4 separate regions of the Mus musculus genome follow, and regions 2, 3 and 4 are each reported to be linked to region 1. Evidence: microRNA targets listed by miRTarBase, many of them from high-throughput screens and not tested one by one. Region 1 holds a microRNA gene; each other region holds the end of a gene's coding sequence.

Region 1 (3,131 bases):
TCTGGAGGATCTGGAGTTCAAATTCATGTTTAACTTCATGATGAGTTAGAGTTCATCATGCGATTCATGTGATGCCCAACAAGAATGTGCATGTGTGTATAGCTGTGTGCATATTCACTTCTCTATATGAATATGCACATACACGCAAGCACACACAGGAATGGCACTCATATATCCTTTTGAATGGTATGTGACTTAGAACTTTAGAGCTTATGCAGTACTGATCAAGAGCTATGTCTCAGTTAGGAGGTTAAGTACTCTTGCCAGAGTCAGGAGGATGAGGAGTTCAAATTCATATTAAATTCATGATGAGGTAGCAATCAGTCTGGGATTCATGTGATGTCCCCCGTTTATGTGCATGTGTGCAGAAGTGTATGCATGTACATGTGTTTATGTGAATATACATATACATACACACATATACACACACATGCAAACATACATGTAGGAATGGTACTCATCGATGCATTTTAATGATATGTGACTTAGACCTTTGGAGATTATGTATGACAGGGCCAGTGTCAATTCTCACACACCTGGTGAAAACCCTTGTTAGAGTCAGGAGGTATAGGAGTTGAAAATCATGCTTAACTTCATGAGGAGTAAGAGATCATCCTGGATTCATGTGATGCCCCCTATATATGTGCATGTGTGTATACTTGTGTGTGCATGTATATGTGTCTATATGAATATACATATACATACACACCCATATACACACGCATGCACGGAAACACAAAAACATAAACATAAACACAGGAATGGCACTCATTGATCCATTTGAATGATATGTGACTTAGAGTCTTATAGATTATGCAGTAGTGTGTCAATGAACGGTCTCACTCACCAGGTGAAAGTTGTTGACAGAGTCAGGAGGATCAGGAGTTCATATTCATGCTCAATTTCAGTTAGTGATCATCCAGACATTCATGTTATGCCCCTCATGTATGTGCATGTGTGTTTACGTGTGTGTGCATGTGCATGTGTGTATATGAATATATGTATACATACACACACACATACACACGCACGCAACACACACACACACACACACACACGACACTCATTTATTCATTTGAATGATATGTGACTTAGAGTTTTAGAGATTATGTAGTACTGGGCCAGTGAGTGCTCTCACTCACAAGGTGGAAATCTTGCCAGAGTCAGGAGGATCAGGAGTCGAAATTCATTCTCAACTTCATGTTGAGTCCGGGATCAGCTTCTGATTCATGTGATGCCCCCAGTGTATGTGCCTGTGTGTATATGTATGTGTGCATGTGCATGTGTGTATATGAGTATACATATACATACGCACATACCCATACAAGCATGCACACAAACCCAAAACTGCCACTCATCGATCTATTTGAATGATATGTGTCTTAGAGTCTTAGAGATTCTGTATGACTGGGCCAGGGAGAGGATTCACTCACCAAGTAAAGACCCTTGCCAGAGTCAAGATAATCAGGAGTTCAAGGTCATGGTAAAGGCATGATGAGTTAGAGGTCATCCTGGCATTCATGTGATTGCCCCTATGTATGTGTGTATGTGTTGATGTGTGTGTACATGTACATGTGTGAATATGATATACATACATGCACACATAAGACACATATGAGCACATAGACACACAGGAATGGCACTCACTCATCAATCTATGTGACTGAGAGCTTTGGAGATTATGTGTGACTAGGTCAGGGAGAGTTATCACCCATCATATTAAAAATGCTTGTTAGAATCAGGAGGTCAGGAGGTCAAATTCATGCTTTATTTCATGATGACTTAGAAATCTGCCTGGGATTCATGTGATGCCCCCATGTATGTGTACATGCGTGTACCTGTGTGTGGATTGTGTATATGAATATACATATCTACACACGCATAGACATGTACACAGACACACAAACATGAATGCAACTCATCGATCCATTTGAATGACGTGTGACTAAGAGTTTTAAGATTCTGCAGTACTGAATAGGGAGAGGTCTCACTCAGCAGGTGAAATCCCTTGCCAGAGTCAGGTGGTCCTGGAGTACAAATTCATGTTTAACTTCATGATGAGTTAGAGTTCAGCATGCGACTCATGTGATGTCCATCAAGAATGTGCATGTGTGTATAGTTGTGTGCATATTCACTTCTCTATATGAATATGCATATACACGCATGCACGCACAGGAATGCCACTCATATATCCTTTTGAATGGTATGTGACTTAGAGCTTTAGAGCTTATGCAGTACTGGGCCAGAGCTATGGCTCAGTTAGGAGGTGAGTACTCTTGCCAGAGTCAGGAGGATGAGGAGTTCAAAATCATATTTAATTCATGATGAGTAGAGATCAGCATGCGATTCATGTGATGCCCTCCAAGAATGTGCATGTGTGTATAGCTGTGTGCATATTCACTTCTCTACATGAATATGCACATAGCTGTATGCACACATACTCACAGGAATGGCCAGAACTATGTCTCAGTTAGGAGGTGAATATTGTTGCCAGAGGGAGGAGAATATGGAGTTCAAATTCATGTTTAACTTCATGATGAGTTAGAGAACAGCCTGGAATTTCTGTGATTGTCCCCGTGTATGTGTATATGTGTATAGGTACGTGTGCATGTAAATGTGGGTATATGAACATGCATATATATATATATATATATATGTGTATATATATATATATATATACATACATACATACACATATACACACACATATGGACACATACATGTGCACACAAACACACATGGTAGTCATCCATTTGATTTATGCATGCTTAGAGTTTCATTGAGTGTATATTCATGGGATAGCAAAACATCTCACTTACCAGATGAAAACTGCTTGCCAGAGTTAGGAGTCTCAGGAGTGCAAATTCATGCTTAACTTCATGAGCAGTTAGAGATCATCCTGGAATAATGTGATGGCCCCTATGCATGTGCCTTTGTGCATAAGTGCGTGCATGTATATGTGTGTATATTTTATGCATATACATACACACACCTATACACACATGCACACAGACATGCGAGAATGGCCCTCACGGATCCATTTGAATGATATGTGACCTACTGCTTTGGAGGTTATGTATGACTGGGCCAGGGTGAGGTCTCACAAACCACGGGAAAACCCTTGGTAGAGT
Region 2 (3,131 bases), not on the chromosome of region 1:
TTCCAAGATGGAAGGTTGTGCAGGCAATGTGAAGAAAGACGGCTTTGCTTCCGCAAGGGACCCACATAACTGCCTGGGGTTCTTAGCACTAGCTCACCACTGAGGCAGGGTTAAGGAACCCAGAACAGACAAGTCAAATTGCAAGACTGTTGTCTAGTGGCTGTTACCAGTACCTCTGGCTTCCTGGAAGCCTGGAGGTTGGGCATTTTTAATGCCCTCTTGGTCCATCTGGGGCCCAGAGAAGGTAAACAAAGACATATCTGTCATCAAACACCCACCCAATAGCATGAAGTGCTGTAGTTTCTTTATCCATCTTATAAGCCTGTTAGGGGAGCCATCTCATAACCTAGCTAGGATAGTTTGTGTGTACCACTTCCTTGAGAATGTCTGGGACTCGGGGCTTCCCGGTGGTAGTGTTAGTCTGCACCCGAAAAGAGGTGTGACTTGAGGCAGGAGTGCCCCATGATAGTTGAAGGCCATCTGTAAAGAGGCAGCATGAAAGCCACAGTGCCCTGTGCTGAATCCAGAAACTGGTCACCCTGGCCACACTATGAAAATACCTCCAAGCTTGGGTCAGTTGGAATGGGGTCGGCCCTGGCTTCTCTTGGATCATGGCTTGTTCTGAGATCCACAAATGTTTAAGCACACTGCTGCATGTCCCTCCAATCAGGCGACATCCTCTTGCTGCCTCCCTTCCCCTCATCTCTGAAGTGGTGAGAAAGCCCAGCAGCCAGGCGTGAAAGTACTTCGTGCTATGAAGCTTGGGGCAAGCCACTCTACTGAAAGGGATTTTCTCATGGGGGATTTTCAAAGTCCTCACTTGAGGGAAAATTAGAGAATTTTATAGTCTGAATAAAGTGCTCAAATATTCATCTCTATTATGTCTCCTGTGGAAAAGCCAAGACTACTGTCAAATGCCCGATTTATATTTTCCAGCTTGCTAACCTCAGAAAGGCAACAGCTTATGGCAATGGTAAAGCCATCAGGGCATGGAGAACTAACTGATGGCTGCTAGGGGTTTTCCGAGGCCATGTGTGGGCTGAAGTCCCACAACTTCCAAACACACAGAGGTCTTCAGCCTAGTGGATACAGGGAATTTGGGGGGGCTGAATCAGGGTAGTAGAGGATGAAGGACAGGCAAGGGCAGGCAAGATGGAGAGAAGAGTATCCTATGCCTACCAGCTGGCCACTGAACAATGGAAGGAACACTCTGGTCCACCCACAGACTTAGGGCTTCTGTGCCTATATTGAGGCTCACAGGCCCATGGCGGTGCAGTGATTGCCCTTGATTATACCTGCTGCTGTGGGGGAAGCAGATGTGGGCGTTTCTGGCTTTTGCAGGAAGTGCTTTCAAGCAGTGCTGCTCCAGACCCATTGCTGAGAAGTGGTTGCTGTTGATCTTGCCAGAAAATGCGGTCTGAAACAGCCAAGAATGTCTTAGGTGGCCATTTTGCCCCAAGCCACCTGGTTATACCTAAGCTGGGTTTGCCTTGCTTCCGGATGTCCACCATTGGCACTCTCCCCGAAATAAGGCATTGACCATTTGCATCCTTCAACACAAGTGTGCCTGCTGCCACCTGAGTTGAGAAGGGACAACTCTGGGTCATGAGAGAGGCTTGCCTAAGCCGGAGGTGCACATATAGCAGACAGTAGCTTCCTAGCCCAGACTGTGACCTACCCAGCACAATTAGGTGAGGTCAGATACAAGGGGAAGTCCTCCAAGGGAAGAGAAGGGAGCTTATTGTTAAAACACAAGTAACAAGTATTTGCTGTGGTTCAAGGATGGGAGACTGTGTGGGAGGGACCTAGGGAGGAGGTGGGTAGCAGCCCACAGACAGAGGCCTAATGGGGAGGCCCAGTACACACGAGAAGGTGGGCATTTCAAGCCCTTGTGACACGTGCTTGCTTCCCAAGAGTATGTAGGAAAGCTTTCATTGTGGATTTATTTGCATGATAGCCCAGTGGGCAAGAAGGTGGTCCCAGGCTGTGCTAGCATGACCTATTGCCTTTGAGAGGAAGTAATGGGTCGGAATCTGATAAAGGTGTCATTGCAGAGTGATACCAGCCACACGACTCCATTGCCACTGCTACTCTCTAATCTTAACACTGAACCAAACCAGGCACAGAGGAGCATCGAGTGTTAAAGGCCTTGACTTGGGACAGATGCAGTGTCTTTATGTTCCAAAAGTGTCCCCTGTCCCAGAATTGGTATTCCCATCACATTCTTCAGTTCAAGAGGTGCTATACCCCTGAAGCGACCAGAGCTCACTAAGGGCAGGAGAGAAACATCTCTGAGTTAGTGGGACAGGCGACAAACAGTCCCCAGGAAGACAACTGATGGGAGAAAGAGTAACAGTTCCTTGCCCAAGCCACCAGCGAGCTTCCTGGATATCCTGGATGTTCTTGACCCAGCAGGCCAAAGGCCTTTCTCTACCAAGCACGGTGGCATCTTGCAGGGCCAGACTTTGCAGGCTTATCAGTGTCCACATCCAGGCCCATAGCAGCTTCACAGCTGGTCCAAGACGCCAGCACCAAAGATGGCCTCCTCCACCCTGGGCTCCTCCGAGGTGGCCATTGATCGTATGGTGCCCACCACATGTCGCACCTCTGTAGGGAGGCTGCAGTGTGCGTGTTCCAAAAACTTAGCCACCAGAACCCTGGTGTCTGCATAGGCCTTGCTCTCCACTAAAGAGTGTGGCCGCTCTTTGGAGACGGTCTGTAAGGTCTCTGGCTTGGTCCCTTGGCCCGTTTTCCAGGTATCTGGGTCACCAGTGGATGAGTGCTGGTGCTGACAGGCAGCCATGGCTGGCTGTGATGTGGAGACTAGAAATCAAAGTGAAAGAGGCAATCTGAATACAACCGTGAACTTAATGAAACCGAAGTTCCAGGAAAAAAAAACAAACAAACAAACACAAGTGTACCAGGGGAGAGTTGCTACCACTGCGTGTGACCCCGTTCCCTGGGTCACTTAATTTCCTGTCAGCCTGGCGTGAATTTCCTGTTGACTTCAAAGGGTTGAAGTGAGGTGAGATGAGTGGTGGGCCTATGAGAAGGACTAGTGGGGGACCCTGAGCTCTCTTCGCAGCCTTCTCCAACTCTATGACCTCCATCCTTTGTGGTCTGGTGGCTTA
Region 3 (3,131 bases), not on the chromosome of region 1:
TAGAGATGAGCTATCCCTGACTACTGCTCTAGGGAACAAGGAGACCCGTCCAGCCACTGGTCTCCTACACCGCACCTCCACTTGCCATCACCGCTGCTTTTGCTCCACAGATACCACGTATCCCAGAACCTCTCGGATAGGAACACAGGTAGGCCTGCAGAGCCCAAAAAGGAGGTAATCTACTTCCGGTCCAGCCCCTTCGGCCGTCCCCCCCACCCCCACGGCCACACCCTGCCTGGGCCGTTAATGTGGATGAGTCACCCACCGCCCTCCCGCCACTGGGGTGACGCAGGTCTGGGCAGCCCGCCCGCCCGCCCGCGGCCACCACCGGCTTTCCCAGCAGCAGGGGGCACGGGAGGGGGCAGCGGGTCTCAGGCTAGGGTAAGAGAGTTTGGATAGCAGCCAACCCCTACAGACAGGGCACATCCGAGTGCAGTCAGGGCTGCAGCCCGGAGATGTCCGAGGTCAAAGGCGCTCCAGGAGAAGAAGGGGGTTTCACAGAAGACCAGGCTACTGTGCAAATAACTCCCGGAGACCTGTGACCCCGAGTACCCGGACAAACGAACTAGCAGGAGGGGGGCAAAAGGGCGGTCTCGGGGTCACAGAAGGCAGGCAGTACCCACACGTGCTCCTGGACCAGGAAGTGAAAGGGGCGCGCGGTAAATTCATGGACCGGAGCGCGCGCCAGAACCTAGTTCTTGCGGCCACTCAGCAGCCTGCGGACGTCCGACGCCCTCCTTCCTTCTCCCCCCAAAGAGAACTCAACGCTGGAGCAAACGGCTGGGGCTTGGGACCAGACCTCTTGGGTCGGGACGGACGCCCCGTCTTGTGCACCCGTAAAACTTGCCTTGCTTAACTGCTGAACAATGCAGAGAAGGCTTGGGAACCGGACCTGACAGCACGGGGCGGGGCACCCAGTTGGGACCCCAGCGTCCGCCAGTCTTCAACCCCCACGCTCCCAGAAGCAAGTCTCAAGTGTTGGCTTCTTGCTTTCTACAGACCACACACATAATCCCCAACTCCCACCCCGCTGCCTTGGTCCCTCAGTCCTGCTCACCGTCCAAGAGGGCTGGATGAGAGCGCACGCACGACAGGGGCTGCAGCGGCGAGTGGAGCTCAAGACCCGGCCGGGCTTGGAGTTTTCTGGGGGGTCCCGCCTCAGACGGGGCGGACCAGGGGCGGGGCAAGGGCCAAGAGGGTTTAAAGGCGCCGCCGCGTGGAATGCTGGAGCGCTTAAGATAGGTGGTCAGTAGGCAGGAATGAGCCGTAAAGGACCTGCGGAGTCCTTGGCGCCGCTGCAAAAGGTCTCCGCCCAGGGGATCCTCAACCTGCATTCACCAGCCATAGACTTGTATCCTAATAGGAAACTTTCTGCCTAGACTAGCTAGCTCAGGATCGCAGGCCTGTTTCTATGAGAAGCCTACTATTACAAAAAGGCCGGCCTTTTGTAAATTCAGGTCCAGGAAGCGCCTTCCTACAGGATAGAGTAAGGAGTAATAGGTCTGGTGCTTACAGGCTGGGACAGCACCCCCACGTGGTTCTGCTTGCCATTTAACTTCAAGCCCGGGCAAAAAAAAAAAAAGAACAGTGAGGTCACTCCTTGCCCGGGGCCTTGAGGGTGTGGTAGGGCTTGGGACCTGGGATTCAGACCCAGTTCTCTCTCTCCCTTCCATCTCCCATTTAATAAATTGACATTTCTTCTTAGATCTTGGAGGGTTGGAGGCGGGGGCTTAGTGGAGGAAGTTGGCAGGCACTTTTCTACCCCTTAAGAGTGAAGAGCAATAGTTGAGGGGTGTCCAGAACACCTACTTTTTCAGGCTGTAGTTAGCGGAGTTCCCCATTTAAAACCCACCAGTGTTTTTCTTTCTTCACGTTATGGAGTCCCCCGTTGAGCCTGATATTTAAAAGAACAGCAGCCAGTTCCACCCTGACCTTTGACTTCTCTATTCCCCAAAGTCCCGCTCAGACCCACAGAATGTCAAGTTTCAGTCCCCTGTGCCTTTAGGGTGTTCCTCTGCCCGAAAGTGGGTTTCCTTCACTGCCCCGTCACCTGCTCTGCCTGTTACCTGCTTGTGTGGCTTCTGGTCAATTACAAAAGCACCTTTGGCTTTAGTTGCCGTGCCCAGTCTACAAAATAAACTCCGGGCGGTGGACGGGACATGGAAAGAACTCTGAGCAGTCTCCTGTGAGTGTCCCAGGAATCCCCACATGTTTTAAGTATTTACTAAATATTGACTCAAACTGAACTCTTTGTGCCAATGTGATAACCAGCTTACAGCTTTATCACAGTGCGTAGTTGGCCTCAGTGACTAGCGAGAACTCCCCAAGGACAAAGGCATTATCCCAGTGATTTCTCTATTTTCTCATGGCTTCTGGCCTAACAGCAGATCTCTACTAGGCACTCAACAACTTTTTTCTTGAATGACTGTTGAATGTGTCCCATTCAGAACCCTCTCTGTACATATCCAGGGACTTCCTCATCTCTCTTAAACACAAAGAGAGGTGACAGAGAAACGGTTTCCAGACATTTATTATTCACCTGTTTTTTAAAAAAAAGAAACCTGCACCCACACCATAAACACCACTTTCGAACGCGCGCTTGCGCGCGCGCACGCACACACACACACACACACACACACACACACACACACACACACACACACACACATTCCTGTTCAGCTCCCAGACTAATTAAAGAGTCAGTACATCCAACTCTATACCAAGCTCACTCAAGCCTACCACCAGGCCACCGAGACACAGAGAGGTAGGGGCAGTGCCCCAGCTTGGAGCCAAAGTCTTGGACTCCTTTGCAAATCCATATAAGCCTTTCTTAGTTTCACACTAAGCGGGCTCATAGCAGAGTAGCCTGTTCAGGGTAAGAGATGGACTGCTGATAGGCTGGTAGCCGGGCCCTGGTAGCATCCCTGCGTCTGCGGAAAGCTAGGAATTCCTCCCGAAGGGCAGCACAGCGGGCCTCGGGGCCGGCAGCATGGGTTGGGTTCAGGAGACAGCTCTCCTCTGGAGTCTTGACACCTTCAAGGGGAAGACAGGACTGTGTGAGAAGAGATGCCGTGACTCACTGGCTGAAGGGCTGAGTCCTGAGGCTCCAAAAGGCCTTTGCGTGCAGCACA
Region 4 (3,126 bases), not on the chromosome of region 1:
ATTACAGATGGTTGTGAGCCACCATGTGGTTGCTGGGAACTGAACTGAAGACCTCTGGAAGAACAGTCAGTATTCTTAACCATCGAGCCATCTCTCCAGACCTCAAATATCTCTTAAGACAGCTGGCAACATAAAAAGTGTAATTACGTAGTTCACACACACAATAGTGTGTGGATGCATTCATTTGCCTTCTGTGATGACTGGCAGGGAGGAACAAGGGCTTATTGGAATCAGGAGACAAAGGTGCAATTGAACTTTCTATTTCAAGAATACAAAAGAGCATATATTCTAGAAATAAAAGATGACAGAGTGGTACATTAGACAAAGGACACTTCCTCTTTTACTAATAGACCAGGCAACACATTAGATCCACTCAGCAAAGGTGGAGGAGGGGTTATTCCACGAGTAACATCCTGTCCACAAAATAAGACAAACTGAGACAAAAATAAGACTATTAAAACAGCGTTCTCATCTTTATTACTGGACATGAGCATGTTTTAGCACACTGGTTTCATGTGTATGACATCAAAAGCAACACAGTATCTTTCCAACGATTCCTCATCCACGCTAATTTCATTTCAGATAATTATGAGTAGCACAGTGGAAGAGTGTCCCACATCCTGACCAGTACAACACTGACAACTAAGGTATCCAGGAAGCCTGAAAATGGTTTCTGTCACACAAATTTTATTTTTACTTGTTCAAAAAAGGAAAACAATTTTAATTCATAAATTACATATTTGCCCACAAGAGCAAATTAATTTTCAATTCTATGTTCATCTTAAATAAAGAACAACTGAAGCATTTAATGATATTTTAATAAAAGCTAGAAGCAAACATAGAAGAAATAATAGAGTAGAATAAATACAGCCAAGTGTTACACATGCCTCAGTCTACCGTGGATATTGGCACTGTTAACCTGTACGCCTGTCTCAGCGCATAAAGATTTAAATAAGACTGAACGGTTTGGACAAGGTCATTTTTCTCCAATAAAAGAAGCCCTAACTTCTATATTTTAAAAATTACTCTCTACCATTTGTTTCCATAGAAACCAAACACAAATATATCTCTTTTATATCGGTGGCAACCAAGTAATAGGCATGTTAAGATACTCTTTTAAAAGTTTTGCAAATGTCGCTAAAAAAAACTCCTGTACAGAATCACAATACTGACAGAATGGAACACCCACAAGTGGCTCGCTGCTCTCATTTTAGTCTGTTCCCCACACAAACCCATGCGAAAGAGTTCAAAGGATTAATAATACATATCACATACAGTTTGGGATTTAAAAACCCATGGCTCTGGAAACCTTAATTACGATTGAGAAATTCCACCCACAAAAAGCCTGCGAGCTCTGACGAGTTTCAGAATTAATACGCTCTAAATAAACCATTCTGGAGAAAAGCCTTTCCCCACACTGGCAATACTTATCAGAGATGGGCAAGACCAGAGTGACAGGAAGGGGCTTCCACAGAGGGCAGGAAGAGCAGCTGGTTTTGAGATAGCACACCTTTTCTGTTCTGCTTAGAAACCATAAAGGCATTTATGGGGGACTGAACTGTGCACTATAAAAGCAGAGGGTTGGCCAGCACAAGCATCAACAGTTGTATCGGTCAATCCATAGAACATAAAAAGCAACAACACACACGCACGCGTGCACACATACACACACACGCACACACACACACACACACATACAGAGAGAGAGAGAGAGAGAGAGAGAGAGAGAGAGAGAAGGGCTCTTCCTAAGAGAATGCATATACATAGAACAGGTCAGAAAGGTACTTGGTGTATGCCAGCGATGATCTCCTGTCATTCAGTAGCTTGAGCATTTCGCCATGTTGACAGTTTTACCACTTCTCGTTGACCAGTCCTTAGTCTCAGGAACCATCTAGGTCAACTTTTCATACACAGCAGGTGTTCAAACATGCTGGCAACCAATAGATGGTCTTGCTCAAGAAATCACATTCCACGTATCCCTTGAGTGGACCCAGTAAGTGTCTAGGAACATGACTTCAATGATGCCCAGAGAAGGATACATGACCTTGCCTTAAAACAGTTCACATAACTGTTGTACCTCCCTAAAGAAAGCATGTAAACATCTGGTGAATGTGGATTAATGGTATAATGTGAAAAATTGGCCAAAAACAATCCAGAAACATTTGGCCTTTCAGCACCCAAGGCTCCCAAAATATAATGTTAAAACATCTCTGCTTAGGGGGGTCTCAGTAATCTGAAAACTGTCCTACCTGAGTGGCTAAACCATTATCCCCTAAATTTTAAAGAAGTGCAAGGAGTTCCCACACTCAGGAATTGCATAAGTGTTTATCTTTTTGCAACAACAAAAGTGAACCATACAGAGGTAGCAAATCCAACTCTAAAGCCCAACACAGGAGCAAAACTCCTTTCAAATGCTAACAGGACTATTGCAAGTATCTAATAGGACTTGTTAACTTGGGCTTGCTTCTACCTGCTTTGGGATATCTTATCATTCTCATCTCTTTTCTTATCACGAGGCCATTGATGAGTCCAGGCTCTCCTTGGCCCAGTAGCATCTATTGCAACATCAATGAAAGAGTCTGGAGTCATCCACTGCAGGAAAATGAGGAAGAGATAGCTGAGCACAGCCAGCAAAGCAAACATGTAGCCCGTCACAGGGCCACAGTGTGAGATGAGCCTGTCCAATCTCTTGTGCATTGGCAAAACAGTTTCCTTCGACACTCGCTCATACACCTGCAAGAGAGAAGGTGACAATGAATGAGTGAGCACTCCAAGCCACCATGTGCCTGTAACAAAGGGTGACCCGTGACCCACACTGACCGGGAGCAACTGGCAAACATGAGTAGAGACAAATCACCCATGTTTGCTGTTATTTAGAACAATGCTTACCATTGACTTAATTCTGGGCTGAACAATGAGTGACCCATAGAACAGGTGATAGTCACCTGACTACTGGAAAACCAAAGTCCTCTAAGGTCAGAAAGCTTTTTCAGTAGGCACACTGCTAAGCTGGGCTAATGCCTTGACTGGGTGGAGAAAGCTCTCATAAATGCCTAGTAGACAGCACACACAGTCACCACACTGGGCTGCTTATAGATGGTGACACTATAGAGAAGCAGGAAGAAG

Evidence for each region. The annotated mature microRNA mmu-miR-466f-3p reads CAUACACACACACAUACACAC and lies in region 1 at 1,007-1,027, shown strand. An mRNA with a match to its seed (bases 2 to 7 or 8) in the 3' UTR can be bound and repressed. Matches are read on the target gene's strand: a 7mer-m8 pairs with bases 2 to 8, a 7mer-A1 pairs with bases 2 to 7 and ends in A, and an 8mer does both.
Region 2: the mRNA of Fam189a1 is a reported target of mmu-miR-466f-3p. The part of its 3' UTR that is shown has no 7-base or 8-base seed match.
Region 3: the mRNA of Igsf9 is a reported target of mmu-miR-466f-3p. The part of its 3' UTR that is shown has no 7-base or 8-base seed match.
Region 4: the mRNA of Piga is a reported target of mmu-miR-466f-3p. Seed matches in the 3' UTR shown: 7mer-m8 at 1,907-1,913 and 7mer-m8 at 1,663-1,669.

What each region holds. Positions count from the first base shown.
Region 1 is chr2:10,471,001-10,474,131 of GRCm38, forward strand. It overlaps Mir466f-3 (microRNA 466f-3), which reads left to right and starts at 953; the gene lies at 953-1,046. All of the region lies in intron 10 of Sfmbt2 (Scm-like with four mbt domains 2), which reads left to right. Mir669d-2 (microRNA 669d-2) reads left to right here and starts at 644; the gene lies at 644-729. Mir297a-2 (microRNA 297a-2) reads left to right here and starts at 1,254; the gene lies at 1,254-1,343. It also overlaps Mir466o and Mir467c.
Region 2 is chr7:64,756,591-64,759,721 of GRCm38, forward strand. It overlaps Fam189a1 (family with sequence similarity 189, member A1), which reads right to left. Exons shown (of 10, transcript NM_183087.4): 10 at 1-2,823. The coding sequence ends at 2,507. Among named protein-coding and RNA genes, the nearest start is that of Nsmce3, 110 kb to the right of the region's middle.
Region 3 is chr1:172,498,259-172,501,389 of GRCm38, reverse strand. It overlaps Igsf9 (immunoglobulin superfamily, member 9), which reads right to left. Exons shown (of 21, transcript NM_001145800.1): 21 at 2,513-3,033. The coding sequence ends at 2,852. Tagln2 (transgelin 2) reads right to left here and starts at 1,144. Exons shown (of 5, transcript NM_178598.2): 1 at 1,058-1,144.
Region 4 is chrX:164,431,237-164,434,362 of GRCm38, reverse strand. Piga (phosphatidylinositol glycan anchor biosynthesis, class A) reads right to left here. Exons shown (of 6, transcript NM_011081.3): 6 at 448-2,733. The coding sequence ends at 2,467. Among named protein-coding and RNA genes, the nearest start is that of Asb11, 4.2 kb to the left of the region's middle.